6 linked regions of the Daphnia pulex genome follow. The protein of the gene in region 4 purifies or fractionates together with the protein of the main gene of each other region. This does not show direct contact. Links are inferred from orthologs where the notes say so. Each region holds a gene or a part of one and is shown on either strand. Other genes may lie near its edges.

Region 1 (4,967 bases), on a different chromosome or scaffold from region 4:
AGCTGCTAATGTACGCCCATCCAAATAGATGCGCGGATTTTTATCTTCTCTTAGTCAAACGTACATAGTAAAAGGAAGTAAAATTGTGGGTAAAGCTTTGAATACAGATGTGGTTTGTTAATTTTCAATGCTGTTTCTTTCCTTCTTCTTCTTTAAGCTAGGCTAATATTTCATAGATAAAAAAGCAAGCAAGATAACAAGGTATGAGAAATCCAGAAGACTTGGAAATAATACAGCTTTTAATTGATATACTGTATGCCATGCAACCCCAGCAGTGTACACTGTTCCAACGACAACACATGATAAGAGTTTTCTGAACTCTTAACTGATCGAAAACATAAACAAACGGAGAAAGAAAAAGAGATGAAAGAAAAGAGAAAAGAAAACACGCCCAAACATGAGTGCCGCTGCTGATTCAAAGATATATGCACGTAGAAAAAAAGGAAGAAAAAACTTTTAGATTTCAATATATCATATTTACTGGGCGGCTCAACAAACTTCAGCGCTTTAAATTGCTTTGTTATGAAAGGTGGGAGAAAAAAGGGTGAATTTGAGGAGGTTGAATCGATTCAGAGACGGGAAAAACGAACTGCACGTTGGCATTAAATATTAACCACAGATGGTAACCTAAAGTCTTTCTCATTCCTCACCCCTCTCCTCCAGTTGACAGTCAAGGAGTTCATCAGTTTGTTTGTGTTGACGCTAACGACAGGGGGTGAGGGGCAACTGGCAAAATCACGAACACTTTGCTACTTCCACGGATTTCAGAAGCAAAACATTCAAAGGATTTCGTACTTCTCCGTAAAAAAATTGGAATCGGCCGCATACTTCACCGATGTGCCGTCATCTACTAGTACGACATCATTTACCTACAACGAAAATGGGAAAATTGTAGACAAATGGAATAAATAAACACAGATTGCAACCGTACCGATATTTCAGCATAGGAGCGCTTCGAATAGAAGTTGACATTGATTGGGAAGAAGTCATTCGCATGGCCCTGACATGAAAACTCCATAGCTCCACTTTTATTGGAAGAGTCCACAACGGGGAGTTGCCACGAAAGCTGATTTTTCCTTGGTTCATACTGATACTCTCCTTCACACTCGGAAACATTCGGTGCTCCGCAACCATGACTACACGAATAAACGAAAGATGATGAGTTGCACCTAGAGCCTAATAGAAAAAAGTCTTACGGCAACGGAATGACAATGACAACGTCGTTCAGCTCTAATCGATCATCTTGAAGTTCGAATTCAATATTAACGTCACAGCCTCCACGTCCGTTTTCAGCTGGCCAGCAATTAACTATAATTTTTTTTAAATCATTAAATTTTGCCAGACAACGTAATTAAGATGATGAATTACTGTTCAGTGGAATCATATTTTCGTCTTGTGTTTGGAAACGCCACTTAAGTACACCAACATCCGTATTCAATGGGAACGGTTTTGTGGCATTCTTCAATGCAATGTGCTGCTTAGTGCGAAATAGTTCCTTGTCAACGTTAGGATGAGTTTGAATTTGAATTCCGCGACTATCTCTGTTCTCCACCTATGGATAAATCAGTCGAATTTTGAAAAAAGAAAATAAACACAATGCAAAGGAAATCATTTTACCTGTACGCGGACTCGACCGTAAGTCTCATCAGTAATAAAAAGTGTTAGTAAGCCATGAATTTCCATGTTGTGTAATCCACCGTCACGTCCACAACTGAGGCTAAGCTTTTCTTCTATTCGAAGTTGGACTCTGGATAAAAGAAATTACAGTCAAGCGTTAAATTTTAATAAGCATTGAGGTATTGTAAATTACGGTTCGGTAGCGATGGTTGATGGCGGCAGTTTGTTTGAGCTCACAGAACCACCTTGGACTACGGAAGCGGGGGACTGGAACGAGTTTACATTCTCGCCTTCTGATTTTAGTTGGTCAACAAATATTTCGGCGTCCTTCAGACGGCCCCCAAGCTTGAGGGCTTTGCTCGGGCCATTAGGTTTTCTAAGAAAAGTACCACGCTGTCAGTTAAGAACTAGTTGAGCGGAAAAATAATTAGCGAATTCACTTACACAACAGCTGGTTGATAAGTTGGCTTAGGAGGCTCAGTCGGAATCGAAGCAGCCATGGGAGATGGCCCGTAACCTCCAGAAGATGAAATGGGAGACTTGATGCCCCTTTTATTAGATTCAACTCGCTGTCTCTGCAATTCTTTGGCTTTCTCTCGCATTTTCATCTTGGCATCTCGTTCTTGTGTCTTTATGGGGAAAAAAATAGTGAAATAAGACCAAACAACTACTTAAATGAGAAAATCCAAACCTGTCTAACAGCCTGGTAGACTTTCTCTTCGTGTGAATCCATTTCGACAAATGTTCGAATTTGAGCCAAATTAACGTTTTCGCGATAGCCAAGAGCAACGATTTCGTCAAAGGCAAATATCAAATTGAAGGCATTTTCCCGGATTTCGGATTCTTCAAAAGTGCGGCAATATTCAGGTACCTACATGAATTTAATGTTAGCAAACCTACTAATGAGAAGATCTTATAAATTATTACCACACGAGCGAAAAGACGTAAAGTTTCTAAATCCTCCAAGATATTGGATGCCCTCGTTGTGATAAGTAATACATACACTTTGTCTAAAGGTTGATAAACATATCTAACCGATTCTGTTTCAACAAAAGTGTGTTGTTGTTGAGCAGCTTTTCCTGAAGACATTAGTTTAGGAAAGGCAGCTAAGAGACCTTCTATTCTGGATTTGGTCATCTCCACAAACTGTCTTGACACCAAGGCTGTAATTGAGAAAAAAAAAGTCATTTCTATTATTTTATGCATCATTTTTGTAAAACTTTGCAACACACCTTTTCCACCCTTGGTGCAAACAGCAGCTGCAATGAGAACCTGAATAATAATGAAAATTAATGAACAAGTGTCACAAGTGGAACAAAATCACAGAAATGACAACAAACATATTTTTTGTTGCGAAATAACATTGGCAACTTGGTATTGCTTCAACGATATTAAAAGCCCATGTTTTCTAGGCTACTGTTGCTAAAGATACAGCACACAATCTTTCAGAAATCAAAATGTATTGCTAGCTTTCCGAAGTAGTCTGGTATACTAGAATGCATGTCCTAACAATCAAAGTTAATCATAGTTATATGATTGAAATGTTTTAAGTTATTTTGATGATGTAAAGCACTATTGAAGAAATCATAATAAAATATCCACGTAGACGAAAGTTTAGCCAAATGTCAGATGGGCCGGTTGTGCAACCCCAATGACAACTTCAACAACGCCCATAGTAAATATTTTCATAAAATTAAAAACACTTAGGTTCGTTGATCATACCATTATTGCGCAGATTAAAGGCTCCTAAAGACTTTATCGGACCCCTTTTACCACAACTTTTCAGGGAGGATTCAAGATCCTAAGAACTGACGGCACAAGATGACGTGGATCGTCAACTGTTTTTCCAGGGTTGCCATTTTCAAATTGAAAAATAAATAAAACTGAAGCAAGGGCCCGTTTCTGGCAATGGCTGATTGATGTCTGGCGGTAAATATTTTGGTATTCGAATGCATCATAATTTTCTGCGTGTTTCACTGAGTTATTGCTTTCAAAGTAAAACAAAGGAAACAACATTATGATGGGTAAAATGTTCGATTGAGTTCGGCAAGATCGCATATTCGCATGTGACATCAGAAATTCGGCAAAACGACTCAAAACAACTAGTCAAGGCAAGTCTCGAAAATGATCTCATAACTACTCCTTTTTACTCAACTCCAGTCCACACAAAAAGGATTTTTTTTAATGTATTTTCTGTTTAATGCTACTCGAAAAATAATCCGAATAAAATGTTCAAGTTAACGAAAACGAATTTAGTTGGTTAACGAATTTAGTTGGTTAACGAATTTGCGTCTATCTGTCGAATTTGTAGCATGCAACCACTTTCTCCGTATAAGTCTGAGGCTGTCATTGTTTACTTTATGATTACCTGATTGCTGAACCCATGACGAAAACTACGGTGAACTATTGTGAAAGGATCTTAACATGATAATGGGAAAATAGTGAGAGGATTTATTCGCTGTATGTGCAGGCCAACCCATTTCAACCATTATTCTATATTTGGCGATTTTGGTAAAATGCCCACAAGAGCTAAATAACAGAAACAGAAAGTGCTTTTGCAACGAAAATGAGTCTCCGAAATCGACTAGAACTTTTTTGTTGTATCGTGTCACGTTTTTTTTCAATAAATTTTGTTTCTTATAGCTTAGAAGCGACATGAAATAAATAAAATGATTCAGATTTTCTTGTTTAAATTTCTGAAAGATTGGGCATTAATTAATAATTATAAGGTACCTGTTTTACATTAAATACAATTAGAGGATATAAAAACTACTGATTGTATTGAAAATTCTTATCTGGTTAACAGAAATGAATTAGATTTATTTGTATTCATTTATTCAACCCATCGAGTGTCCGACAGGCGACAGTTAAGATTTGCGATCACGCAATCGAGTGTCATTATGATCACCAGATCACGTCACATTCGTCCTAACGGAGTGTGGTAGAGACTTCTCCTCCCCCTGGAGGAGGAGGAGCTACGCAACTCAGATTTTTTTTTCTCTAGACACTTCTACATCTCGGAGAAAGAAAAAGTATTTTATTATCCCCTCCAAATCACGATATAGGAGCAGTAGAACGAGTTCATTTTGATCCATTCCGATACCAGAAGAATGCATTTAAAATAAATGGAAACGAATACTATTGTAAAAATCAAAATGAATTAATGCAATGCAGATTCCTTGTAATTAACGATTCAAAGCGCAACATCTCGCGACTACAGTTAACATGTATTTGAATTTCCGAATTATAAATAGCTTAACTTAATTAATTTTGAATGAAATCAAAGCCCCACAGAGTTGCCATAAGAGACCGCAGTGTTTTTCAAAATTGCTGGTCGCCCATGATTGGCC
Region 2 (5,103 bases), on a different chromosome or scaffold from region 4:
TACCTTAACGCTGGCCTTAATGTTGGCGAAATCGTGCGGAGCCAAAATGATAGCCGAAGGCTTTTCTACCAGTTTCAGATCACCGAGAGTTGCCAATTCCAACGTGCAGTTTTGAAGGGTGTCAGCCGTTTGATTGACAATCAAAACATCAAGTACGATGTCGTATTGGTTCACGTTTACGTACGCTTCGGCGTATACAGGATCAGAGAAACCAGTCAACTGCGTCACCTTGTTCAGTTTTGAGACGCTCAGATCTAATCCAGTTCGCTGAGCGGATCCTACCAAAGCTTGCGACAAACTTGATTCAAATACGTCTTCGAGGCCACCAAGTTCATTGCGTGAAAGCAGTTGCTTGAAAGAGACCAAGTCGTCGGCTTGGATTGATCGGCTGTTCTTTTCTAAGTTCTTTTGGGCAGCAGCTTCTTCCTCAGCTTTGGCAGCTAACATAAGTGAAATGGATCTACGGCAGGCATCGGTAAATACTTCTACTAAAATCGGTGATCGATCCGAGAGCACCTATGTCGAAAAAGAAAATTGTAATGGGGGTTCACTCATTTTTTACCATTGATAACTTACCTTAAGGCAAAGCCCCAATCTTTCAGCATCGTCATTGCTAATTGGTTTCTGAGGCAGTCCCGAACGACCCAAATGAAGAATCGCTGCAATCACTAGCATGGCTTCGGCACAAAACTGGTTTTGCGTTTGCGGGTTCGACACTTGTTGAACAAAACGTAAGGCCAGCTTTGTCATAGTTGTAGCCATTGATGCACCAATGAAGAAATCGCCTTCCATCAGATATCTACAAAGAAATTTAATTATGAATGCAATGCTAAATGGAACGACATCAACAGAATTGACATACTTTCGAAGAGGAGGCCTTTCTTCTTTTTTGGCGGTTGTTACGGCAGCACTGAAGATAGACTGCGTAGCGTATGTACCATCTGCAGTTACCAAGCGGGCGCTAGAAGCAACAGGATTAGTAACGCTCCCAGTTCCCTGTGCTAAAGGATTTTCCGGATCGGTCTGCTCTCCTGCTGCTTTTCGGATTTCGTCATCCACGATTGGAATTTCGCCAAGCGATTGTCGCACTTTGGACATAACTGAACGAATGTCATCAGCCGAAGTGGCGTATTCGCCCAAGATCCAAATTGCTGCACGGTGCACCTTGACGGATCTTTGAAAAAAAAAAAAACATCTAATGTAGAATTGCTGCCAGTAAAAACGAAATGGAGTTATTTAAACTTACTTGATGGAAAGAAAGGCTTCTAAAAGTTTTTCGATGATTAATGGACGAAGTCCTTCGAACTTCTGAATCGCTTCGCGAACAAAGACCAAAACATCGGCGGCTGCTAGCTCGTTGGTGTCGGAAAGGAATTCAGTCAGTACAGGGATGACGGTCGCAGAAATGTCAGGAAACTTGATGCAACACGAGTGAAGAGTGCGCACCAAAAGTTGCCGATACTTTCCCGTATCTTCATGCTCGGTTGTGTTGTGCGTCTTTGTTACCTCCTACAAGATAATTCATCAATAGAAAATTATTCCTATCGATTTACCATTTCACCGGAATTCTTACCTTTTTCAAAACGAGCACGATATCTTCTATGTTTCGCGAAGACACTAAATCAAGTATAAGGGATAGTGTCTTCTTTCGTACTTCCAAATCTGGAGTAGCCAATACCCGCAAGATGTCCATCACCAATTCCTGAAATGAATTACATAATTAATATTTTGTAACATGTGAATGATTAAATTCAAGATACCTGCAAGACACGTTCTTGATTCGGCTGCTCTTTCAAGGCGATCAAACGATCCAGCACAATCAACTTCACATTATTGTCGCTTTCCTTTAAGATAATTTCGATGTAGCAACTAGCAGCAGCTGTTCAAGAAGAAGAGAAAACATATTAAGTTGGAAACCCAAATTAAATATTAGTGAATATGAATAATACCTTTAATAGCCGACGGTGCGGACGATAAGGTTACTAGAGTGCCAGCAGCTTCGTAGCGAACGGCCGGACTGGTGGCATTCAAGAGACTGTAGATACAACGAATGAAACGCGATCGCTCACTAGGATTGGCGTGACACACTTTGTAGATAAGTTCAACGATGACCAATTGCAGAATATCACCGAAGGAGTGAACCTAACAGATTTTGTTTTCCTTAAGTTTGTTTGGAAATTGGAAACCTTAAAATAGTTCTATTACTTGATCGATGCAAGAGGTAAGATAGGAGAGCGCCCTTTCTTGGTCAGCGTGAATCAACATCATGAATGCATTACGTTTACAGGACATGTCCTGTTCACGTTCTAGAAAATTGGCAATCAATTCTGGCCCGTCAGGAATGAGGAAATCAAAATTGCGGTAAATTGTGTAAATTGCCAAAACAGCATTGCGTCGAACGTAAGAATGTCGGTGCTCCAAACACGACCTGATCGATGGCATCAACGGTTCTAAGATTTCAGGTTCCTAAAAAGTAAATTACAAAAGATTAGCTTATCAATAAATTAAGGTATAAAAGAAATTGGCTTACCTTAAGCTTGCAAAGAAAACGTAATGTTGATCCTCTAATAAATTCATTTGGATGTTGCAAATCTCTCCTGTAAGCATCACAGACGAGAATCATTTCATGCAAGAGTTTTCCATCTGCTGAAGTCTTTGGAATGATTTCCCAGAATATCAACAGAAGTTTCTTGACATTATGATCCTGAAGTGGCAGCACAAATTTGACCACTGCCATGAGGATTCCTGGAATCTTTTCTCCATTTAAAATTATGTAAATGGCCTTTTTTAAAGCATCAATCTTGGCTTTGATATCTCCAATTTCCAACTCTTTTCGCAGCTGATCTGGAGGTGGATAGTCAGAATCTGGAGTACTGATGAGGGTATAACAAGGTTGCTCAGTCACAGACATCTGTAAAAACAAAACAATACATGAATCGTGAAAACTTGGACCGGTTTACGCTCGATGAAATGTTATTGTGACAGCGACCCGCAACCCATTCGAAATCTATAACGATGGTATTTGTTGAACACTGAATAACGATTCCAAAATGTCGGATGACTTGCCTTGATTTCTTTGTATTACAACGGCTTGTTGTGTTTTCTGTGTGAGCCGTAACTATATGAAACGAAGGAAATTCACGAAACCTTTGACGTTGCAGAATGTCAGAAAATACCCACGTCAGTCGGTAAGCGACAGATCTTAATTCGTAAAATTGACAACCACGCAGCCATGTTGCCATTATGAGTTTTAATTTTGACGTTGTTTTTTTGTTATTTTTATTCAAAATAGATATTCAGTCCCAGCTTGTGTTGGTTTCCAGATTTTCCAGGCATACTCTCTCTCTGTACCATCAAAACAAGAGTTTTTGTGGGTTTCCCGGATAAACAATGTGTCAACTGCCTAGTCATCGTCACCCATGTTTCTCTGAACCACTGTGAACTTCTTCGACACGTTTGAAGCAGGTTTGAAGACCAGCACCAGTCACGTCTCCATCTTCGGCAATGGTCAGTTTGTTTTCAATGTGTAAAGGTATTTTGATGGGAGTTAGTTAGAATTTTTCGTCCATTTAATCGGCAAAGCCTTTAAGAGACGATACAATTTGTTCTTAGTTATTTGATAATAGAAATGTTCGTTCGAAATAGAATGTGCAGATGGCCACAATCTCCATACCTTCACTGCTTCACAATATGCAGATTGCATATTAATCGTCTTGCCATTAATCACAGAAAATTAGAATTGGAAACGATTAGCATCCGAAGGTACTGGCCGTTATATCTCTATTTCGTAGTTACCAGCTTTAATACGTTTAATATGGTCGTTACTTCGTTGGTTCGCTCGGCTCACTGTAGCCTATAGCTAATCGATATTAAATATTTATGTTTTATGTTATTAGCATCAAATGTAATTATGTTTGTTCAGGATACTTTTCATTTATTATTTATTTTCATCGTTTTAAACTAACTGAGGCATTGAGCAAAAGGAATCATGGAAATTTCCGCGACTATCATTGTTGCGTCTACGATGATCTTTCCTTAAAATTTGTTTTTTTTGTGTTGGTAGGCCTTCCATCTAAAAAAAGTTCAAGTATTCAAGTAAAATATCTTTAAATTTTTAAAAAACGTTTTATAATGCAAACATGTTATATTTTCAACGTAAAAGAAATTATCTTATATTTAAAAAAAGCGTGTGGGTAGAATGAGGCCATCCTCACGATAGATAAACATCACGCTTTCCCGTAAGAGGGAAACTAGGGTCTTCTTCTTTTGACGCCACCGGCAATCGGAAAGACATTTGATTTTTTCCTCACAGGCACCACAGAGCATGATGTTACAGCTAGCTATAAAGAAAGACAACTGCTGTTAGTGAACAGACGGCTCCAAGTCATCGGCCAGTATACAAGACTTTCTGATTTTCGAGTTCATTTTTAATTGGGGTGTCGTCATTCGCTGTTGAGAGTTCATCATGCGATTGTTCCTTCTATTTTTAGTTTTTTTGTTTGTATCGCCTGTTTTGTCACATTTCAGTGAAGGTAAGGAATTCACTGAAAAGTCCGTTAATGTCGTAATTTTACCCTTCAAATAACCTTACTCGGAAACTCTCACGCTAAGTTTTCTGATAACTGTTATTGTATTGCTATCGCTTCCAAGTGCCTTGCCCCTTACCATCAAAGGGCGTTAACTGAAAATAATTTCAGTTAAAAAACACTTTGGTTGAGTTTTTAACTGTAAATTTAACTTAAGTTTGTTCATCAAGCAACAAACAAATTTCATTTCATTTTTCTAATACAGAGAAAAAAGACGCAAGTTTGGAGGGCAGCCTAACAATCGAAACATCCGTGATCAATGCAAAGAATGAAACGAAATTGTTACTTCCGGATCTTCAAGTAGAATCAGTCGACGTCAATGTCGAAGAAATTTCATCAGCTACAAGTGTTGAGAGAAGGCAAAGCAGGAAAAAGAAACGTCGAAATAATAAGCGACGTCAGAATCGTATTAATCAACTGAGGAAGAAAGGTAATTTTTAAAAGTCCCAATTTTATTTAGTGATATTGTACATATTTCTGAATCACTAGGTAAAAAACCCAATGGACGCAAACGCCG
Region 3 (4,441 bases), on a different chromosome or scaffold from region 4:
ATACTCATGAAAGAAATTCTGAAAGGATATCGGATGGACAAACCGGAACTGGCGCCCAACTTCTTCGGTGAAATGATGGCCGATTGCTGGAAATCGGATCCGAAAGAGAGACCCACTTTCAGTCAAATGGAGGAGATTATCTGCAGTCACATGGAGTCGTCTGTCAGCTCAGACTATTTGAATATGAACGCGTTGTATGTAAAACTCAACGAAGATAAGGAAAACGCAACGCCAAAGGATCATTTTGGATTGGCAAAGTTGTTGGTAGAAAAATCAGGAGCTCAATCCAAGAGGGACACGACCGCTCGATATTCATTTTTACCTATGCTGTTCTCAAAAAAAGATGCTGATTCCGATCTTTAGCCAAACACTGATCAATCTGCTATCAATAATCGATTAACTAGGCACAGAGCAATCCACTTTAATATGAAGTTATTGCGTTATCATTTGATTTCTATTTTTGTCGAATTTTACCGCCTTTTCCTTTCTTTGTGGCTATTTGAATATGATCGCGCTGTATGTTATAAACTCAACGAAGATAAGGGAAACGCAAGGCTAAAGGATCATTTTGGATTGTCGAACTTCGAAGTTGTTGGTAGAAAATTCTGGAACTCGACCAAAAAAAAACAAAAAAAAAAAAACACAACGATTCGTTACCGATCCTTTTCAATTGGGTCGATTAAATCACCGCTTATCGCTGATAGATCAACGGAGCGAAAAACTGATGCGCTCTGTCCAAGCCTGGAATTCAATATCGTTATAAAGACACGACGAGTGAAACGTTTTTTTTTTTTTTTTTTTTTTTACCTTTTAATCGACGAAAGATTGACGTTATCAATAACTTCGAAATGAACTGGCAAACTTTAGTTGGTGTAATGCTGTACTTAAGCTGTACTGTAAGAGAATAACGTTCTATCCGAATTAAAACCAAGAACATTTCACCTAAATTACAGTGCAACCTGAAAAATATTGGAAATTCACATCTCTGTTGTGATAGAAACAAATTTCTTTTGTGCTTTCATTCGTTTGTAAACCCGAAGTAAATGTCAGAAAAAGGCAAACTATTCTTTGATGAATGAAAACAATCTTTTAAAGATCGCTGTAAAATACCAAGCACACCATCAGGTTATATAATGCGTGTTACAAGTTACAAAAAATTTAATTTCTAATACGGTGGATTGATTTTAATTATTTATCTGCTATTTTGATAAAGATGGCATCAACAGAACAGATTTGTATTTTTTTTATAGAACAACTTGGAAAAGGAGAAAAATAATGATAAGGATGATTCAACGACCGGAATTTATTGTGGTTGAAATAGTTTAGATCCTTATTTCAGAAGAGACCATTTTAGCTGCTCCTTTGCCGATTGAAGCACCTAAAAAATCAGACGGAAATAATTAAAGAATTTATTGATCTTCTCCCTTAATTATAGTAATTTTTAAAATGTATATTGTTTAGTTTAGAAGTAGCTGCTGGAAAATGAAAATTTCAAACTAATTTCAATTTTAAATTTAATTAAATTGAAAAAAACCTTATTTAAATATCTGATTAAGTAGTTAAGTTATCAAACATACCTGGGCCACTGTCTGCTCCCCAATTGGAATGTCATCATTCCGAAGAGCTACTCTGTATGATATAGCAGTGGGATCTGATTCCAGAATAATCCTGCAACACAATAGTAAACTGGTAATAGTATCTTGATAAACTTGTCATGATTACATGTTTGAATGGAAACCATACCCAGAATCACATATTTCATCCAAAGCAAGCATAACCACATCAAGATTTTCCATTAGAGAACGCTTTTCCACATTCTTTCTAAGTATTTGGCTGATGGAATCATACAAGCAGTTTAAAACACTAACCAAGATCAACTAAATAAGGGGAAAAAAATTCCAATTTACTAATATTTTGTGAACAACTTGTGAGCATCTTTTACCTCATTTTCATGGCTACTTCCCATGACATAAAAATAAAGATCCACATTGCTTTTGTAGACACAAGTCATGTTTTCTAGCATAATGATTTCCGTGTTAGCTCGGTGTGTTTTGTTGAATAGGTTTTTTTCAAAAACCTTCTGTTCTTTTGCAGTGGGTAATGTGTTTGGGTCATAGTACTTTGCAAGAATACGTTTACCATCATTGTCAAGGATTGCAATTCCTTTAATTACATACAGAGAAGGTTCCTAAAGAAATTTTATAAAAATGTATCATTTTGTTGTTGGTCTGACACAGCTGATTAAAGAAAATGTAGTACTAGAAGTAGCTATATTACCAGGACATGGTTATCCATTTCTTTATACAATATGCAATACACCACAACACAAGAGCTAAGAGAAATAAGATGAACCGTTGTACAGACGGGTGAATGAAAATGTTCCGTTCGAGATGTTGATGAGTTGTTCTTACTTGACAACCGGTAGTCCTGTATGCTACGTTGGCAGTTTCTTTCGCGTAGTATCGCCATGGAGTACTTCAACTAGAGTACGATTCTTATGTCGGTAAGAAAATTATATTAACCATTAAAAAAATTAACTTATAAATTTTATAAATTTCCTATACTGATCACAAACCATTAACGAGATAAATCTATTTTTGTTTTAAAAGATACGGGAAAAAGCAAAAGGGCCAGTCGTTAGCGCCATCTAGGAACTGCTTGTTGAGTATAAAAGATAAACAAACTGGACAGTGCGGCAACGCAGGATAGCCAGGAAAGAAGAGAGGGGGAGAAGGACCTACCCAGACAAAGGAATAAGAGAGGGGGACTCAGTGCTGTTGACGATTGTGGCTAGGCGAGTAGCAATACAAAGCGTTCTTTGCAGCAAACAGGTTCACGTGTTAATTTCTATATCAACAGGTTATGGGCCCAGCTGTACGCACAGCTAACAGCTACTCTGTCTGAACAATTATTTTTTTTGTGTGTGTCCCCGGCTAACTGTTCCCAAGAAATTAGAAATTCTTTTCTGGAGTGATGGAGAAAGATGGCCGCCGCCATGTTGTATGGTGTCTGAATGGGAAAAACTACGCGTCTTGGAAATTTGGAATGAAGCTGGCGTTACAAAGTGTTGAGCTTTGGGAAGTCGTGAACGGGACTCAACGGCAACCTGCTGAAGTAAGTTTATTGATGATTTATTGTTTTCTTTATGTGTGTGATCCGTGCCTGACAACAACGCGATATGAGATGCCTATCTGTGGCGTGGTACCAACTATTAAATTGACAAACTTAGATCCCGGCGTGAGTGCTTAATCTCTGCCACTTGATTTTGTTTTTTGTGTGTTTGTGTTTGCTGGACATTTCTCTTTTTTTGTGTTTCTTTCTCAATCTGTTTGGTCACTCTGGCTAAATTCCATCATATGATGGTGGACAAGTGTGTGCTAGAGTTGCAAGCATCTAGGAGACAGCTGAGTGTTTTTCCACATCGAGATGATGTGAGGGAGATTCCACATTGAGATAATGTGAGAGGTATTCCACATCGAGATGATGTGAGGGAGATTCCACATTGAGATAATGTGAGAGGTATTCCACATCGAGATGATGTGAGGGAGATTCCACATTGAGATAATGTGAGGCTGCCATGGATATCACAAACCTAACCATCTTCTCGTTTTGTTACCACAATCAGAGACGCAATGCTGACCAGGTGATTGAAAATGCAGCTGATATAACCAACTGGAACAAGAGAAATACCACGGCAATGCAGAACATATTTGGCGCCATCAAAGAAGACCAATCAAGGATCCTGATGTCTTGTAGCACAGCCCAAGAGATGTGGATGAAATTGGAGACTGAGTATGAAGAAGATGCCGCAGACAATGCACCTCTATTGTGGACAAAGTTCTATGGATGCACATTTCGACCAAGCCAAAGTGTATCAAGCTTCCTGACTGAGTTGGAACAGATAGCATTCCGTCTGAAGAGCCTCAACATAGCTATTGATGATAATCAAATAATGGCAAAGATACTCATGTCGCTTCCTCCAGAGTTCCGTGTTTTTGCCTTTGCATGGGACAGCACGCCTGTTGCAGAGAAAACTCTCAAGAAACTGACTACTCGCCTTATAGCATTGGACAAGAGCCTGCGCAACGACGAAGAAGCAAAATCGACATCTGATACTGCCTATCTCAGTAAGCCGAACAGAGATGAATCACAGCACAAAGAGCAAGCACTTCCTGCCCAGTACGGTCAGAACAAAGGAAAAAGCCACCCTTCCAGTCAACATGCTGGTATACCGAGAACATGCTGGGAGTGCAACTCCACTACGCATGTTAGAGCTCAATGCCGTCAATACAAACGCCGGCGTGAGAGAGAAGGAGAAGAAGCGGACAGAAAAAGGAAGCGTTACGATCGACATGACAGAAGAGATGATAAACTATGTAAGCTCCCAGGAGCAACTGGCCGATGCACTCACGAAACCCCTGGCTGCTCCACGCTTCAAGTA
Region 4 (4,323 bases):
GGGAAAAAATCAACTAAGGAAACCCTGAAGACTAAGGAAACTGTCCAATCAAAGGAAAGCATTAAAAAGTAATCACTATCGCTACTTTCTGTCTGGTGATTTGAGGATCATACAATATCTTGACACTTCTAAATTTTGCCAATCATGTTCTACATCCGATGAAGTACTGATGCGGTCAGTTAACAAATTTACGTTGGAACTAATACAGACTTCTTTGGATTTCAAACAAAACTTTCTGATTTCTGAATCTTCAACATGGAAACTCCCAATTGCACCGAAATCCCGGGGACACTTTAGAATCAATATTCAGAAAGAAACTTTAATAACTAAAAACTCGCTATACCGATTTGCCGATTGACTATAGAAGTAGAACTTGCAAAAGGTGGCCAAGTCGATATAGAGAATAATTTTTTTGTGTGTGTCGTAAACACCACGAAATACACTTGGTAAAAATTTAAAATACACTTGGACAAAAATTTTAATTTTGCGCCAAATTTGAAACCTGCAAAATTGGGTGGTTTTGCTTTCGTTTGTTCGTGAATGTATCTTTGAATCAGATTCCTTCTGTCGTAGCTGAACAGTTTTCACTTATTGAATATAGAAATGTATTAATCAAATATAAAATTTATGTAAGTAATACTAGGCATTTAAGTTACAATCTAAAACAACAATCTTGAAAACTTGGACAGACCATTTAATATTTTAGATTAAAGAGTATCTGACATAACTTTATGTTGAGAAGAATATACAAAATCACACAAGGAATTATAGAATGGTGCAAAGTATTTAATATCTAGAGTATGAGGAGGAAGATGAAAAAATGGGAGCCTTCTTCTTCTTGCATACTGGCTTAGTTCTTGATCATGAACCTGAACGTCGTGTTCAGTATCCATTACAAATAACACTACAGTAGAATTTAGCCGAGACAAAGAGTCAAGTTTACTATCGGCATAGTCCAAAGATGTTCGATCAGCTCTATTTATTACTATGGCCACTGCATCAGTTTTTTCCATGCATGCCTGAAAAAAGAAAAAAATGACAAAACAATTCAATATTTGAAGTTGATATCATGATATGTGTTTTTCTTACTGTTGAAATGTAGTTATATCTTTTTGAACATGATTCTCCTGATTCCCAAAACTGTAATTTAAACAAGCAGGTTTTTGCTTGTATTTGTGCTGGCCAATAAATATTTTTTACATGAATTCCTATAGTTTCTATGTATCCTGGAAAAACTGCTGGTTTCCCAGATAAAACTGAAATGGTTTTTGTTTTCCCACTTCCTGCTTTGCCCAGTACACCTATTTTGAACATAATTTCTGGGGTTCCTGGTGTAACATTCGGATGTTCTAATATTCCTATACCAATAAAATGAAATTGATACATTTAATGGAGATATGCATTAAACCATTAATTACCAAAATGCTTTCGAACTTTCGTATTTATTGGGTGGTAAAGTTGTTGTACAATTCTTTCTCCTTCGACTGTTTTGTACCAATCTGGATCAACATGCTTCAAAGAAGTTGTAGTTGTACTCTCCATTGCAAACGTTCAGATTGAATAAATTTTCCTATAACACTTGAACACTTAATAGAAAAACCATAAAAAAAATACCACTGGCATGTGCATAGTGTTACAACAAGAGCGATCTGATATAAATATGCGGTTTTTGTTATTGTAGATATCTACTTCTCAACTTCTGTCAGAGTGCTTCTGTTTTGTTTTGACAGTTGCTAAATGCGTAAGCAGTGTTGCCGGTTTATGAAAATGAGTAACTTAATAAAATTTAAATTCCAAAAAAACTAATTACTTTGATTCTGAAACAAATTAAAATTTGAATGCAACGAAAATTCAATTTAAAAAATAAATACCGAACATGAATAGGCCTTGATAACGGAAAAGTCTTCCGAGTCTTCTACTGGTCTTCTACTACTTAGAGGCAACTGTGTAAGGGTTTGACACGTCAAAAGACGACTGCAACAGCAAGAAATTAAAGTGAATTTTTTTCAATTGTCAATTCGACAGCAGCCTTAATATTGGATATTAGATCTTAATTTCTATCAAAGTGAAATGCCGGAACAGCAGGGAGAAACCGATGAGCTTTTTGAAGTTAAAACACAATTTTATATTGGAAATTATCAGTCTGCTATCAATGAAGCTCAGAAGCTGAAGGTACATTATCTTGTTTTTCAAATTCATATTGATTTCCTTAACATATTTAAATTACTTCCAGTTAAATAACCCTGTTCTGAAGCTTGAACGTGACGTATTTGTCTATCGAGCCTATATTGCTCTAAAGAAATATGGTGTTGTCATCAATGAAATACATGGAGCCTCTCCACAAGAACTTCAGCCATTGAAACAATTGGCAGAGTATTTTTCTCAGCCTAGTAAGAGGTAATTTTTGTTATTTCTATGTAATAAGTTTCAAGTTAATGAAATATTACAATATTTGCAGGGAATCTATTGTTCTAAAACTTGATCAACAAGTTTCAGGAAATCTAGATGTAAACAACTATGTCTTTCTTCTTGTTGCTGCTTCAATTTACTACAATGAAAGTAGTTATGAAACTGCCCTTAAAGTACTGCATCAGTCAGACCACTTAGAATGGTATTGTAAATTAATTTGACTTCTATTTTTGGTTTTTCATATTATTTTCTCTGTACTAGTCGGGCTCTTATGCTGCAAACACAGTTAAGAATGGATCGTTTGGATCTTGCAAGAAAGGAATTGAAAACCATGCAAGAAATTGATGATGATGCTATTTTGACACAGCTTGCTTCTGCCTGGGTCAATCTTGCAACAGTATGTAGTTGTATTTGTGAATAATGGGTGAATGATTACATTGAATTTTTTCTTTAATAAGGGTGGTGAAAAGCTGCAAGAAGCATACTATACATTCCAAGAGCTGGCTGACAAGAATGCTCCAACTGCATTGTTGTTGAATGGTCAGGCTACTTGCTGTATTGGTCAAAGTAAATATGAAGAAGCTGAGTCTGCCCTTCAAGATGCTCTAGAAAAAGATTCAAATAACACAGATACACTAGTGAATCTTGTTGTGCTCAGCCAGCTATCAAGCAAGACGCCAGAAGTCTGTAATCGCTATTTGAGTCAGTTGATTGATTCTGCTCCCGAACATCCTTTTGTCATTGAGTTCCAAAATAAAGAAAGAGATTTTGATTTGCTTGCTAAGCAGTACGCTCTGCCAGCTTAAATATGTTGAAATGTTGATTTTTGATGATAATACAAGAATATCCAGTTCATTATTCTTTATTTTAATTTTACAAATCGGATTCACCAATCAGAAAGGTTAAACGACTTCACTAGATTTCTAGAAGGACATACAAGCATACAGCAATGTTAGTAGAAGCAAAGCAAACAGACTAGGGCTAGTTAATTTTTTAAACCATTCAAAAACAAAACAGCACATTTTTCACACCGCACCATTTTTCTACCTTGACATCAATTTTCTTGAAAGACTAGAGTTCCAAAAAAAAATCTTGTTGATTTGGAACTTCTACTTCTGGATAGCATTAGAAGACGTAACCACGAACATTTGTACAATTTTATCAGTTCTTAAAAGAGATAAGGTAGCGACGAGATAAGTCGTTGTTTCCCAGATTAGGTTCTGGTAAGGCACATGGCGATGTTCTAAGCTACATGGCCATGTACACGAAACCGATAAAGGCACGTATAATTCAAGTTGCCATAGTTAGAGTGAATCCGTAGTTCAACAATAGAGAACGCTCCTGGTTCATGCGCCTACAGAAACAATAATTGTTCTTAACATCTAGTTAAAACTGTGTAGAAGAAATGAACATACCTGAACTGGAAAGCTTTGCAACGGCACGCCAAGATTGTCAAAAGTATACTGACCAAGTACCACGCCAGCGATGTCCACTTCCCTTGTAAGGCCCTAATAATACATTTAAACATTTTTTTGTTAAACAAATCAATAAATAAAGGCTTTGCTAATATTAATTACATAGACGGTGAAATTTCGTGGAGCAGAATCGATTTGACCATCGGGCGCCAAACTTCGAGGTATATGCTCTAGAGTGAAAGCCGTTGGGACGATTTTCCTTGAAAGCTGGATCACCAGATATCCGTCGAAGCCACGGAAAGACCAGCACTGCCCTGGAACAATTCCAGGTTGAATGACAACCCGAGGATTGTTCGGTTCACTCCATAACGAAAAACCCCATATTGAGAGTCGGGGCCGGTGAGAATTGTAGGTTTCAGTACAGCGAGTGCTTAATATTACTCCTCCTATTCGTAAAAAAAAAATAATGAAATCACGAGTTCGACATCAATAAGCACCA
Region 5 (4,935 bases), on a different chromosome or scaffold from region 4:
TAATGGTCCGCCTTATCAACATGAACAAGGGCAGCTCTATTTAATGGATCTCTACCGACATGTTCACGGTCGCATGCATTCTCCATCACGCCCATTGAAAATGATGTGTCACACTGCTGAAAAAGAGATACTTTTTGGCTTGGTAAGTTGTTTCAAAATAAAATGGCTCACCTTTTTTAGATTTACTTACTAATAATATGATTTATCTTCAATATCTTATCAGGTTACTCCTACTTATGAACTATATATGGTCGTAGAGCCGATGACGACAAAAGCGGCAATAATGAACGCGGCCAATGCTATACTTAAGGTAATTGAATGGCTCCGATGTACTGAATCCACATTTATAGGTTGATTGTTATTATGTTCCCCTTTAGTGGAGTAAGCGTGAAGAAGAAATCCACTTCATCACTACTTCAGGAAGTTGGTAAAGTACCGAATGCAGCCTTCCTTTACATTCACCTTCGTTTTTCATGCATCATGATATATTTAGACTTCCAGATTTATCTGTTATGGTTGTGTTAATATTCATTCCATTTGTGATACATTATAACTGCAAATGAGAAAACGAATCTTTTGTAGAATTTTTTATTGAAGTTCTACAATATATCTTTAAAGAACTATCCAACCAAGAGATGTGTGGGGACACTTAGTAGCCAATTGCAGGAAAAAAGGGTAAGGGCTTAAAACAAGTGATAGGAAGAGAAAATTTTTAGTGAAATATCGCCAACTTGTAAATGATTAAACTCTACAATTCCAGCTGTTTGGGTATTTGATTTCTGCGAACTAGCTTTGGCCAGTCAACAAATTCGGGGCCATTGACCACGATAAAATAAGAAGATGCTACTGCCATGCCCGACCAAAAAAGAAGATACAAAAGGCTTTCGGTGCTCAGTTCTAAGAAGAAAAAAAAAATTTAATATGTTTCTATTAATGAAATCTTTTAATAAATTATTTACCACTCGGGAGCAAGACGGTTACAAATACCATAGTGGCCGCGATACACCAGATTCCGGGAAGCTAGACGAAAAATAACAACATTCCACATAGTAAAAAAAAAAAGAAGTGAAAGGAAAACATAGTAATACGAACCAGTAAATATTTCCAACCACGATCGATACGGGGTGCAAGTCTGCCCTCTTCAACTACATAATTACCAAGAAAGAGGTCGATGGCATCCTGCAGAGGTAATAAAAGATTGTCAAAAGACACAGAAAGGTCAACCAAATGAGATAAATTCGAAGAAAAAGAAATGTACTTGTCGAAAACCATCAGCGAAATTATTCTTGTAGTAGCGGACGAGCGAATTGACTCCATCACGAAGCAAGCCAGCTTTGGTCCTTTTTCCAAGGCGAGTAAAATCAGTTTTTAAGGCTCCTGTACCCGAATACTGAGTCGAAATGACGTCAGCGTGATCGGCCCAAATATTCTTGAATAGACTTTCAAAATCTTGCTGATCTTCAACGCGCTGGCCTTCACTTAAAATGCCGAATTTCTGAAATTAATTCAAGATTGCACAAGACATTTTTTTTTTATAGTCTGGAGTCTCTAATTATTTAAGATAGAAATACCATGAACACTTGTTGAAGGTTTCGTCGGGCTAAGAGACTCTGTAAGACGTTGGTTCTGTCCAAGCAATCAATGCAATTCGTTCGGAAAACACCGTCTTGCTGGCGAACTACTGTTCCATCTTTAAGCAGCATGAAATATACATATTCCTCTTGTTCAGCGCTGACGCGGTCGAGAAGAATACTCAATCGATCGTAGCGCATTTTTCTACACTCGTGATGAAAATCAAAAGCTTCATATCTAATAAGCAATAAAATGTCGACGTTGAATGCAAATTTAACTAGTAGTGCTGTGATAAGATTGGCTTACTTTACAAATGGGCTTCGAAAGCTGTTGATTACATCTGAAAAGGCTTTTTCTAGTTTCCCTTCTGCTCCTTTTTGATCAATCTTAATGTGAAGAAATGTTAAAAAATAGTGATGCAATGAAATTTACTATAATTACTTACCAAGTTTAGGATAACTTGTTTCCCATAATTCAAAACTTGGAAATCGAAATGTCTGGAAAGTCCCTCCAGATGATTAGCGCCTTGTACCGCTTCGGGTTTCGGTTTGTATTTCAGGGTGGGCAATTGAGACCAAAAGATTGGAATAGATCCCCTAGTCTAAAGTGGATAAAGTTTTAGTAACGCACAAGAACACAATAACAAAACTTGTTACCTGAATAAAAGAGCATTTGTCGCCTTGATATTCGATAATTTGTTCGGTTTCAACGTAGTTGGCCACTTGACCCTCCTGATCTACGCCCCTCATGAAAAATCGAGTACCAGCTCTGTAACAGCATCGCCGTGAAATAAGCGTGTAGAGTAATTTCTTCCGGTTAACTGTAACGTGATGGGTCTGAACAACTGTTTTAAAACGGTAATGTTAGAAACTAGCTGGGAAAAATTAACACAGTTTTTTTAGCGGGAATAGAAAGTCAACTCACATCCTAGCATTACAGGTAAAACAAACTTTGCCATCTCCGGCTGACTGACCAGATCACGAATAAGATGACGATTCCAAACAAATCTTTCATCAGCTCTTTCATGTAATGGTATCTGAAAATTAAACACAACACATAAATTAATAGAGAACTTTTTTCAGCTGTTCATGCTGAATTTGACTAACCTGTAAAAATTCTGGCATAGTGTTGTGCAGCCTTTGCAGGGAATGTGTTAAATCATATGTATATGAGAAGTACAAGTGTGGAATATTGAGGACATGCTCAATCATTGCTGTGTACACTTTATTATCTGCAAGCTAAGATCAAAAGTTGAATATGATTATTTCAAATTGAATGAATGTTAATCTAAAGGTGACAAAATTTTACTTGTTCTTCATTGAGATGTAAAATAGTTCTGGCAAACGGTATGATTTCAGTTTCATCAACTTTCCAGATGTCTTGACCATTAACCATTCCAGCCTTTGAACATTTTGTGATGACAACCAGATAGGGGCCAGCGAGAAGACGAATGGTTCCAACAATTCCAAAAATTGATCTGCTCTTTGCAGTACTAGGGACATGTTTTCTACCATCAACTAAACTAAATTCATGGTTGAGTCTATCAATGACCAGAATGTTTGTTGGATTTTGACTGGGTTCAATAAAAAACTGATCGGAAGTTTCGTGCCTGATAACAAATAATCGTGATGAATTATCAATTAAATAAAACCCCATTGAAAATTTGAAACACTTGATACATAAAATAATTAACCACTTACAGTATTAAGCTATCATATACATCCATATTGAAGACTTTGAAGTTTCTTTGAAATTGGCAGTCACCACTTTTGAGCGAACCTCTAAACTTGCAAATTAAAGCTCCACTGCCGATAACTGGGACTGATTACTAGTCTGCTCTGGTCTTCTGTCAAGACGAGACAGGTTTTACCGGTAGGGAAGGGAATATCTAATTTCATTTTACACGACCAATAGATGGCGTTCATTAAAAATTTAATAGAAAATAGAATCACTGATTTGCGAAACTGAAGATTGTATTGACGATTACTTATTACACAATATACGATTAGACACTACATCCCTTTTAAAACTCGAACCCAAAATTATCTATAATTGGCAAGGACTTCCAAGCCAAAGCTGTTTAGTAGTAGAAAACGTAATTTTAAGCATCCCTCTCGCTAACTTACAATGTTCATGGACTTGAGGAATTATGGAAATGAGACGAATTTCATCAGAATACGACAAAAATGCCAAATATTTGAATACAAGCAAGAGAGAGATGCGGATCTCGTTCAGTTCCGGTGATGATAAAAGGGGGAACGCTTAATATTAAGGAGCGGATTACGGGAGGACGAACTTTTGTGGCACTCATCGTTACCCAGACAAAAAATGTTCAAATATTAGGTTTCATGCAGTACACATGACATGGTATGGTGGTGGTGGTGGGAAGTAAAAGGATGAACAGGAGAAGACAGAATCTTTAAACATAGGGAAAAGAACACCACAAAAAAGTATAGAGACTGTACACGTGTTTAAACAGCAGTTGCTTTTGGCGTTTCTTATCAACCGGCCAGGATGCAGTTCATGTGAAAACCGTCTTTACGTACAGTAATGTAATAAGATGGTACTTAAATTTATTATTATTTTTTTAGCTCCATTCACTTCTTTTCATGGTGTTAAGGGAAACAAAATCGTCTCTTCACTAACACCTCTTCCACTCCCAATTCCACGTCACTATTAGTTGACAGGTACAATCGTTTTTTTCCCCAGCCAACTACACGGCAATTGTCTCTCGGTGAATTCTACTGTGAAGGTCCACCTCCGCTTGGTCCTGCTCCGCCACTTGTACCTGCTCATAGAAAAATTCAAACATATTACCAACTGTTATAATTTGCCTTTCATCATGGGTTATAACAGACTTCTTCCAAATTACGCTTCATCGAATTCTTTACGAGAATGAAAATGACATTAGTTTATACGTTGCAAGGAACATGTGTATTGACGGCCACTGATACACTTGAACGTGAAAGTGAATGAAATGACAATGTATTGAAAGTGAAAAAAAAAAAAATTAAGGAGCATGACCTAAGAACTGTGTGTATAGAGGCGGGGAGAAGGAGAGGATGAAGAAGGGACAAAATCAAAGATACACTTCCAGAGAAATGGCGTTCCCTTGCAAGATATTTGTCATTTCCACTCTCGTTAGATTAGATAAAGGGCAAATGGGTTGATGATTTGTATTGGACAAAAAAGGAGGGATGGGATGGGAGATGTGGCTGCCCCACATGTTGCCGTGTTGAACTTGTAAGTAGAGGTGTCAACATAAACAGGTGTGGACAGGGACTATGAACGTAGCGAAAGAGGATAATAGTGGAAGGGTTTTCGTAGCTGGTTTCGGACTGAACATTTGTTGTCATTATTCCC
Region 6 (5,123 bases), on a different chromosome or scaffold from region 4:
CTCAGGAAGCGCGTCAAAAAGGCAACGTTGTTCATGCCAGCTCCAATTGCGTCATCGCCTAATCGCTGCACCATTTCGGCATTACCTGAACATTCAACATATTAACTATCTGAACAAAGGACGAAACAATGTAAAATGACATACCGGATGCTGTAGCCAAAAGTAGGAGTCCTCCGAAATCCTGTGCCTTGTGAAGACACTCTTGAGCCAACTCAAACTGACATTTGGTTGTGGCCAGATCAGCAAGTTGTTTCCACTTGTGCTCACTCTGAGCCTCGCAGGCTAGTTGGTAGGCCAGTTGCAATTGACCAAGCTGAAGTGACAGTTCGAAGCGATGCTCAGGATCAGCGGAGACTGCCAATGCCTGTTCTTTGAATCCCTGCTTCTCAAGAAAATGAGCCACTCGAGTGCGTTGCTCTTTGGGAACCGACGGGAGCACTCGGTCAGCTGTTTCGAAGTCTCGTCGCATAACTGCGGTTTGATATTCAAGCACCGAGAGTTGCAGGCCGTAGGAAACTACATTTAGCTCCTTGTCGCCCAAGTAAAGACTGTTGTCCTTGGGAATGTAGCCCAACAAGTACATCACTCTGGAAACAAAAGTTACACATGGGTTTAATAGTATCGGTTTGATTATTGCAAGAATGGTGAACTTTCAAGCCATACCTGTCGAGATGGGCCACTGTGACAATTTCCCCACCGACGTAATAATTTAATCGGTTGGCACTGTTGGTGTAGATAAAGCAATCGCCCACCCAAAGTCCCGTCTTAACACTTTCTTGCACTTCAGATAACATTTCGAACGCCGTCTAAACATTCAGAAAATATTTTTTAAAAATGTACTAACACTTTGTCTTTAAATAAAATCACCTCAATTCCGGCATCGTCGGTCAAGCCTTCTTTGGTTTCAAGGCTTTTGGCCACGGCATCAGCATCATAACGCAAAACAAAATAGCTGTCTTCGGTAGAAATGCAAACTAATTCACCATTTTCCGACCAATACACACCACGTGGCTGGATCTCAATCCGACGAATCAGTGTCAGATTGTCCCATTCGTAAAAAGCTAAGCTGTTGGTAGACCGGACCCCAAGCATTGCTCCACCAAAGATTCCTGTGAATGTAAAATTTTAATTAGAATCAATATTTCATTCTGTTTTCAATTACTATGCACAATATACCTTCGGCTCCCAGCTCTGGTTTGAATTGTTTCTTTTCCTTGAAGTTCTTAAAAACTTTGACCGACGTGGCACTTTCACGAACAGCATACTCGGATGAGTCCACTGCCCACACAAACTCCAAAGCTGAACCGAAAGCTTTGTTTCGCAGAGCCATAGCTGTATAGATGATGTACTCGCCGTCACCACAAACAACGACGAATCTATTATGAAACGGAATTTTATTATTTACTGGTTTCTATGCCATGAGCAGTTAGCAAACATACCTTCCGTTTGGATTGTGAGCGACAGTTTGAGGGTAAATCTCGCATGCACCCATATCCTTGATGGCAAGAGGAAGACGTTCTCCATCCTTGATCTCCGAGTCCGGCAGCGCTTTGAGATTGGCCTGCTGGATCTCTGAATGTTTGGCCCAGATAATTTTACCGCTTTGATCCATGGACATTGCAGGTTCCTCTCGGCCCAATTTAATCATGATAGATCCTTCATCGTAGCCCAAAGCGATGTTATTAGACCCAGGCAAACAACAAATGGTCCAGACACGCTCCAGCCCATAATTGAGAGTAGTCTCCAACCGGTAGGTATTTGAATGCCATACTCTACGATTTAGAGAAAATAGTATACTTGACTAAAAAATAAATAAAGAGAATAATAAATTTACCTGACTGTTCCATCTTCAGATCCAGTAAGCAGAATTGGAAGTTCGGGGTGGAAGGCAACAGAAGAAATATTCTGTGCATGCCCTTCCAAAGTTTGGACGCAGGTTTTATTCTGGTAATCCCAAATTTTAACAAGCCGATCATCTGCACCTGAAATTAAGTAAGGTTTGTCGCCGGCGTGGTAATAGTCGACGCAATTTACTCCTTTCTCGTGGCCTTCAAGAGTGAAATTCGGTGTGTTCGAGCCCAACTGCCAGACCTGAATGAGGGACCGTAATAAATTGATTTTAAGTTAAATTTCTGGCAAAATATTTTCGTAAAAACATACCTTGACTGTTCTATCAAGAGATGCAGTAGCAAATGTATTGTTATCTTTTGGATTGATGACAATCTGCATAACATAATGGGTGTGACCCTCAAAGACTTGTTGGCATGCCCAGTTCTTTTCCCAATTCCACAACTTAATTGACATATCATCTAAAATGAAGAAAGACTGTATGAACACTGAATCTGTTAGAAAAACAGATTATTTACATACCACTGCTAGTTAATAGAAAGGGTTGAGTGGGGTGCACAGCAATGCAACGAACATAGTCTGAATGAGCTTCAAATGCTGTCACACGATCAAGTGTGTTGTAGTTGAACACTCTGACCTGGAACAATTTAAAGAGGATTAAACTATATCTAATCTGAAATGGATAAGACATCAAGAAAACTATACCTGCATATCATCAGAACCACTAACAACCCAGTTTTTCCTTGGGACAAACTTGACAGCACGAACAGGCAGGTCACAAACCTACAAAAGGGCAAGTAATGGTCAAGTCATTAAGGAAGAATTCAATGAAGTACTCATTTTACCTCAAAAGATTTGATGATTTGTTGTGATTCATGGTTCCAAATATGCACATTTCCATTATACAAGGAGGCCAACATCCATGGCTCTGTTGGATGCAAGTCGACACTTTTCACGCGATCCGAACGGGCGGTAAGCCTTCTCTTGATATCTAGTTTCAGCGGCTATAAAAAATTATAACATGAAATTAGCTCAATAATTGTTATGATTTAAACAAGTAGTATTAATGTTAAACCATTTTGTTGTGAGGATTGTTGAATAGTTCTACTACGTGGCCGGTTGATCTGTCATCACTGGGGGAGGAGTGGAGCACAAATAAACATTGCCAGATAGAATCATTAGCCAAAATACTAAATTGCTTCTTTTCTATCAGCTTTTACTAATATTGTGTGACCTCGTCGGGAGTGTAATTTTCAAAACTATTATGAGCTATTTATTCTATACATTTTAAGCGTACCCTGTAATAATTCAAAATTTGTTAAACTATTTCGACAGTGGCAACATCACATCAGTTCAAAACAAACTGCCCCGCACAATTTATCAATGGAGACAGCCACGATCATTATTCGAGTCATCCGGTCGTTTGAATATCGAAACATTCGCAATGTGGTTTTAAAGAATGTACCACTTTCCCTTACAACTGAAGAGTTGAAAACTAGAATAATTCAAGAGTTGGGTGTTGCTCCGGGACTGCCACCACCTTTTCGAAAATACGAATATGACACTTTGAAGGTTATTTGAATAACATCTTACTGCTATTTTTATGTATTTGTTGTTTTTTCTATGGTTTTCTACAGATTGAGCACCATGCACATGGAGCTAAAACAAATGATCCTGTCATTAACCACGAGAATGATGAAGGTCTCATCCTTAAAGCGGAAAGGACACTCAAGGAGAGTGATGTAAGACATGAAACTGAAATTTCATTCTTCAAATATGATGATTACATGTCATACAAAAAAAATCCAGTTTTAAAGATTGGATCAAGATAATGAATTAACTGCTGAAAATTTTTGCAATTCATTTTTCTTGATTGCCTGAAACAAGCAATCCTCAGGGAATTACTTGGGGTCTTTTGATTCTTATTTTTAATTTTGATGATACAATTGTGAATAATACACCACATTTTTCCTTCATCCATATATTCTGGAATAATATGTTTCAAATTTTCAATCATCACCTAATTGTCAGATAAACACTGTTGCAAAAGTTATAGCAGACGAAATTAAGTTGCAAAGGTGAATTCAAAACTCGAAAGCGTCGGATGCTATGTTCTTGTTGGTGTTAAGAGAGTGGCCTACTTGTTGAAATAATGGATCAATAATTTCGAAACTATGAAATGACAATCCAACACGATGGACAGATTGAAAAAATGCTGGGAAGGAATTTTACAAGAAAGAGATAATTTTTGGAGTTCCTTCTTCACTAAGGTATTTTAATGTCAAATTCTCTTCAAAGAGCTATGCAGACCTGATTCTAACTCTTGCGATTTATACATACTACTCTAGTACCAAGAAGACAAAAAAGACGTGGATTTTCGATCTTATTTGGATAATAGTTCGACAAGGATTAATACTGTGCTGGAACTAGCAGCTGAAGAGAATAAAGAGTCTGCTGGGGCTTCGAAAGGCTCGGTTAAAAAAGTGATACAGCACTTTGAAGAACAGTCTAGTGAGTCATCAGAAACATATTCTAATGAAGTGGCTACTTCATTGAATGAAAACCAAGGTAAGATAACATTTTAAGAGTACAAAACAAAATTTAATATTGTGCCATATTATTATTCACAGAACAAGAAAACTTAAAATCTGATGAGCCTTCAGTAATATCAGTGAAGAAAACTGTGCCTACATTAGTTGTGAAAGCTATTCCAGCAAAGCAAAAAATTGATGCTCAATATTTGTTAACAAAGAACTCACCTAATTCAGTCAACAAATTAATTTCCGAGTCTTCAAAGAGCTCAGATTCTACAGTGTTACAGTACTTTAAAGAACAATCTAGTGAGTCATCAGAAATATATTCTAATGAAGTAGCTACTCCATTAAATGAAGAAAAAGGTGATTCTTATTCAAGTAAAAAGAAAAAAAAATGATTTTAATGTGCTCTATATTGTTCACAGAAGAACAAAAAGTTGAAAACTTAAAACCTGTCCAGCTTCCAGCAGTATTAGTGAAGAAGAGTGTGCCCAGATTTGCTCTGGAAGTTAATCCAGAGAAAGAGAATGCAAAATGCAAATCACATTCACACAAAAAATTCATTTCTGAGGCTTTAAAGGGCTCTGATTTTAAAGAGTTACAGGACTTAGAAGAACCATCTATTAGTGAGTCGTCAGAACCATATTCTCATGAAATAGCTACTCCATTAAATGGAGATCAAGGTGAAATAACATTTATTGAATATTTTTAACAATTTTTATCTTATTGTGCTGTATATTG

Evidence for each region.
Region 1: the proteins of coatomer subunit epsilon-like (region 4) and coatomer subunit delta-like purify together in Homo sapiens (affinity purification with mass spectrometry; 4 studies listed by BioGRID and IntAct, with this or other methods). This does not show direct contact. The link is inferred for Daphnia pulex from reciprocal best matches to the Homo sapiens genes COPE and ARCN1.
Region 2: the proteins of coatomer subunit epsilon-like (region 4) and coatomer subunit beta-like purify together in Homo sapiens (affinity purification with mass spectrometry; 6 studies listed by BioGRID and IntAct, with this or other methods). This does not show direct contact. The link is inferred for Daphnia pulex from reciprocal best matches to the Homo sapiens genes COPE and COPB1.
Region 3: the proteins of coatomer subunit epsilon-like (region 4) and coatomer subunit zeta-1-like purify together in Homo sapiens (affinity purification with mass spectrometry; 3 studies listed by BioGRID and IntAct, with this or other methods). This does not show direct contact. The link is inferred for Daphnia pulex from reciprocal best matches to the Homo sapiens genes COPE and COPZ1.
Region 5: the proteins of coatomer subunit epsilon-like (region 4) and phosphatidylinositol-3-phosphatase SAC1-like purify together in Homo sapiens (affinity purification with mass spectrometry; 4 studies listed by BioGRID and IntAct, with this or other methods). This does not show direct contact. The link is inferred for Daphnia pulex from reciprocal best matches to the Homo sapiens genes COPE and SACM1L.
Region 6: the proteins of coatomer subunit epsilon-like (region 4) and coatomer subunit beta'-like purify together in Homo sapiens (affinity purification with mass spectrometry; 4 studies listed by BioGRID and IntAct, with this or other methods). This does not show direct contact. The link is inferred for Daphnia pulex from reciprocal best matches to the Homo sapiens genes COPE and COPB2.

Annotation. Positions count from the first base shown.
Region 1 is NC_060022.1:6,328,669-6,333,635, reverse strand, and holds coatomer subunit delta-like, read right to left. Parts: upstream 3,478-4,967; 5' UTR 3,343-3,477; coding exon 3,340-3,342; intron 2,890-3,339; coding exon 2,850-2,889; intron 2,781-2,849; coding exon 2,545-2,780; intron 2,489-2,544; coding exon 2,309-2,488; intron 2,247-2,308; coding exon 2,062-2,246; intron 1,994-2,061; coding exon 1,811-1,993; intron 1,748-1,810; coding exon 1,618-1,747; intron 1,553-1,617; coding exon 1,369-1,552; intron 1,309-1,368; coding exon 1,197-1,308; intron 1,137-1,196; coding exon 932-1,136; intron 870-931; coding exon 780-869; 3' UTR 222-779; downstream 1-221. Other genes in the region: porphobilinogen deaminase-like, read left to right, coding at 1-28. UniProt on the Homo sapiens protein: Component of the coatomer, a cytosolic protein complex that binds to dilysine motifs and reversibly associates with Golgi non-clathrin-coated vesicles, which further mediate biosynthetic protein transport from the ER, via the Golgi up to the trans Golgi network.
Region 2 is NC_060020.1:2,118,220-2,123,322, forward strand, and holds the start of coatomer subunit beta-like, read right to left. Parts: upstream 3,219-5,103; 5' UTR 3,067-3,218; intron 2,912-3,066; coding exon 2,531-2,911; intron 2,467-2,530; coding exon 2,206-2,466; intron 2,143-2,205; coding exon 1,950-2,142; intron 1,880-1,949; coding exon 1,761-1,879; intron 1,703-1,760; coding exon 1,574-1,702; intron 1,510-1,573; coding exon 1,247-1,509; intron 1,175-1,246; coding exon 863-1,174; intron 800-862; coding exon 577-799; intron 517-576; coding exon 4-516; intron 1-3. Other genes in the region: uncharacterized protein LOC124192347, read left to right, coding at 4,466-4,532, 4,792-5,016, 5,076-5,103. UniProt on the Homo sapiens protein: The coatomer is a cytosolic protein complex that binds to dilysine motifs and reversibly associates with Golgi non-clathrin-coated vesicles, which further mediate biosynthetic protein transport from the ER, via the Golgi up to the trans Golgi network.
Region 3 is NC_060024.1:1,294,029-1,298,469, forward strand, and holds coatomer subunit zeta-1-like, read right to left. Parts: upstream 2,660-4,441; 5' UTR 2,470-2,659; coding exon 2,278-2,469; intron 2,189-2,277; coding exon 1,943-2,188; intron 1,878-1,942; coding exon 1,744-1,877; intron 1,669-1,743; coding exon 1,578-1,668; intron 1,379-1,577; coding exon 1,331-1,378; 3' UTR 1,222-1,330; downstream 1-1,221. Other genes in the region: fibroblast growth factor receptor 2-like, read left to right, coding at 1-363. UniProt on the Homo sapiens protein: The coatomer is a cytosolic protein complex that binds to dilysine motifs and reversibly associates with Golgi non-clathrin-coated vesicles, which further mediate biosynthetic protein transport from the ER, via the Golgi up to the trans Golgi network.
Region 4 is NC_060018.1:6,870,633-6,874,955, forward strand, and holds coatomer subunit epsilon-like, read left to right. Parts: upstream 1-1,915; 5' UTR 1,916-2,070; coding exon 2,071-2,172; intron 2,173-2,233; coding exon 2,234-2,397; intron 2,398-2,458; coding exon 2,459-2,611; intron 2,612-2,670; coding exon 2,671-2,806; intron 2,807-2,867; coding exon 2,868-3,215; 3' UTR 3,216-3,264; downstream 3,265-4,323. Other genes in the region: RNA exonuclease 4-like, read left to right, coding at 1-72; ciliogenesis and planar polarity effector 2-like, read right to left, coding at 708-1,019, 1,090-1,358, 1,419-1,542; uncharacterized protein LOC124208207, read right to left, coding at 3,653-3,763, 3,825-3,917, 3,987-4,270. UniProt on the Homo sapiens protein: The coatomer is a cytosolic protein complex that binds to dilysine motifs and reversibly associates with Golgi non-clathrin-coated vesicles, which further mediate biosynthetic protein transport from the ER, via the Golgi up to the trans Golgi network.
Region 5 is NC_060026.1:14,680,107-14,685,041, forward strand, and holds phosphatidylinositol-3-phosphatase SAC1-like, read right to left. Parts: upstream 3,434-4,935; 5' UTR 3,299-3,433; coding exon 3,273-3,298; intron 3,182-3,272; coding exon 2,881-3,181; intron 2,811-2,880; coding exon 2,679-2,810; intron 2,609-2,678; coding exon 2,497-2,608; intron 2,417-2,496; coding exon 2,229-2,416; intron 2,174-2,228; coding exon 2,018-2,173; intron 1,959-2,017; coding exon 1,879-1,958; intron 1,810-1,878; coding exon 1,572-1,809; intron 1,496-1,571; coding exon 1,259-1,495; intron 1,180-1,258; coding exon 1,093-1,179; intron 1,021-1,092; coding exon 960-1,020; intron 898-959; coding exon 749-897; 3' UTR 573-748; downstream 1-572. Other genes in the region: protein SAND-like, read left to right, coding at 1-142, 224-310, 378-431; casein kinase II subunit alpha, read right to left, coding at 4,314-4,360.
Region 6 is NC_060017.1:7,291,606-7,296,728, reverse strand, and holds the start of coatomer subunit beta'-like, read right to left. Parts: upstream 3,092-5,123; 5' UTR 2,927-3,091; coding exon 2,924-2,926; intron 2,853-2,923; coding exon 2,694-2,852; intron 2,632-2,693; coding exon 2,554-2,631; intron 2,486-2,553; coding exon 2,371-2,485; intron 2,310-2,370; coding exon 2,161-2,309; intron 2,092-2,160; coding exon 1,835-2,091; intron 1,773-1,834; coding exon 1,440-1,772; intron 1,377-1,439; coding exon 1,177-1,376; intron 1,110-1,176; coding exon 868-1,109; intron 807-867; coding exon 664-806; intron 588-663; coding exon 145-587; intron 86-144; coding exon 1-85. Other genes in the region: uncharacterized protein LOC124197376, read left to right, coding at 4,044-4,118, 4,197-4,416, 4,479-4,745, 4,808-5,065. UniProt on the Homo sapiens protein: The coatomer is a cytosolic protein complex that binds to dilysine motifs and reversibly associates with Golgi non-clathrin-coated vesicles, which further mediate biosynthetic protein transport from the ER, via the Golgi up to the trans Golgi network.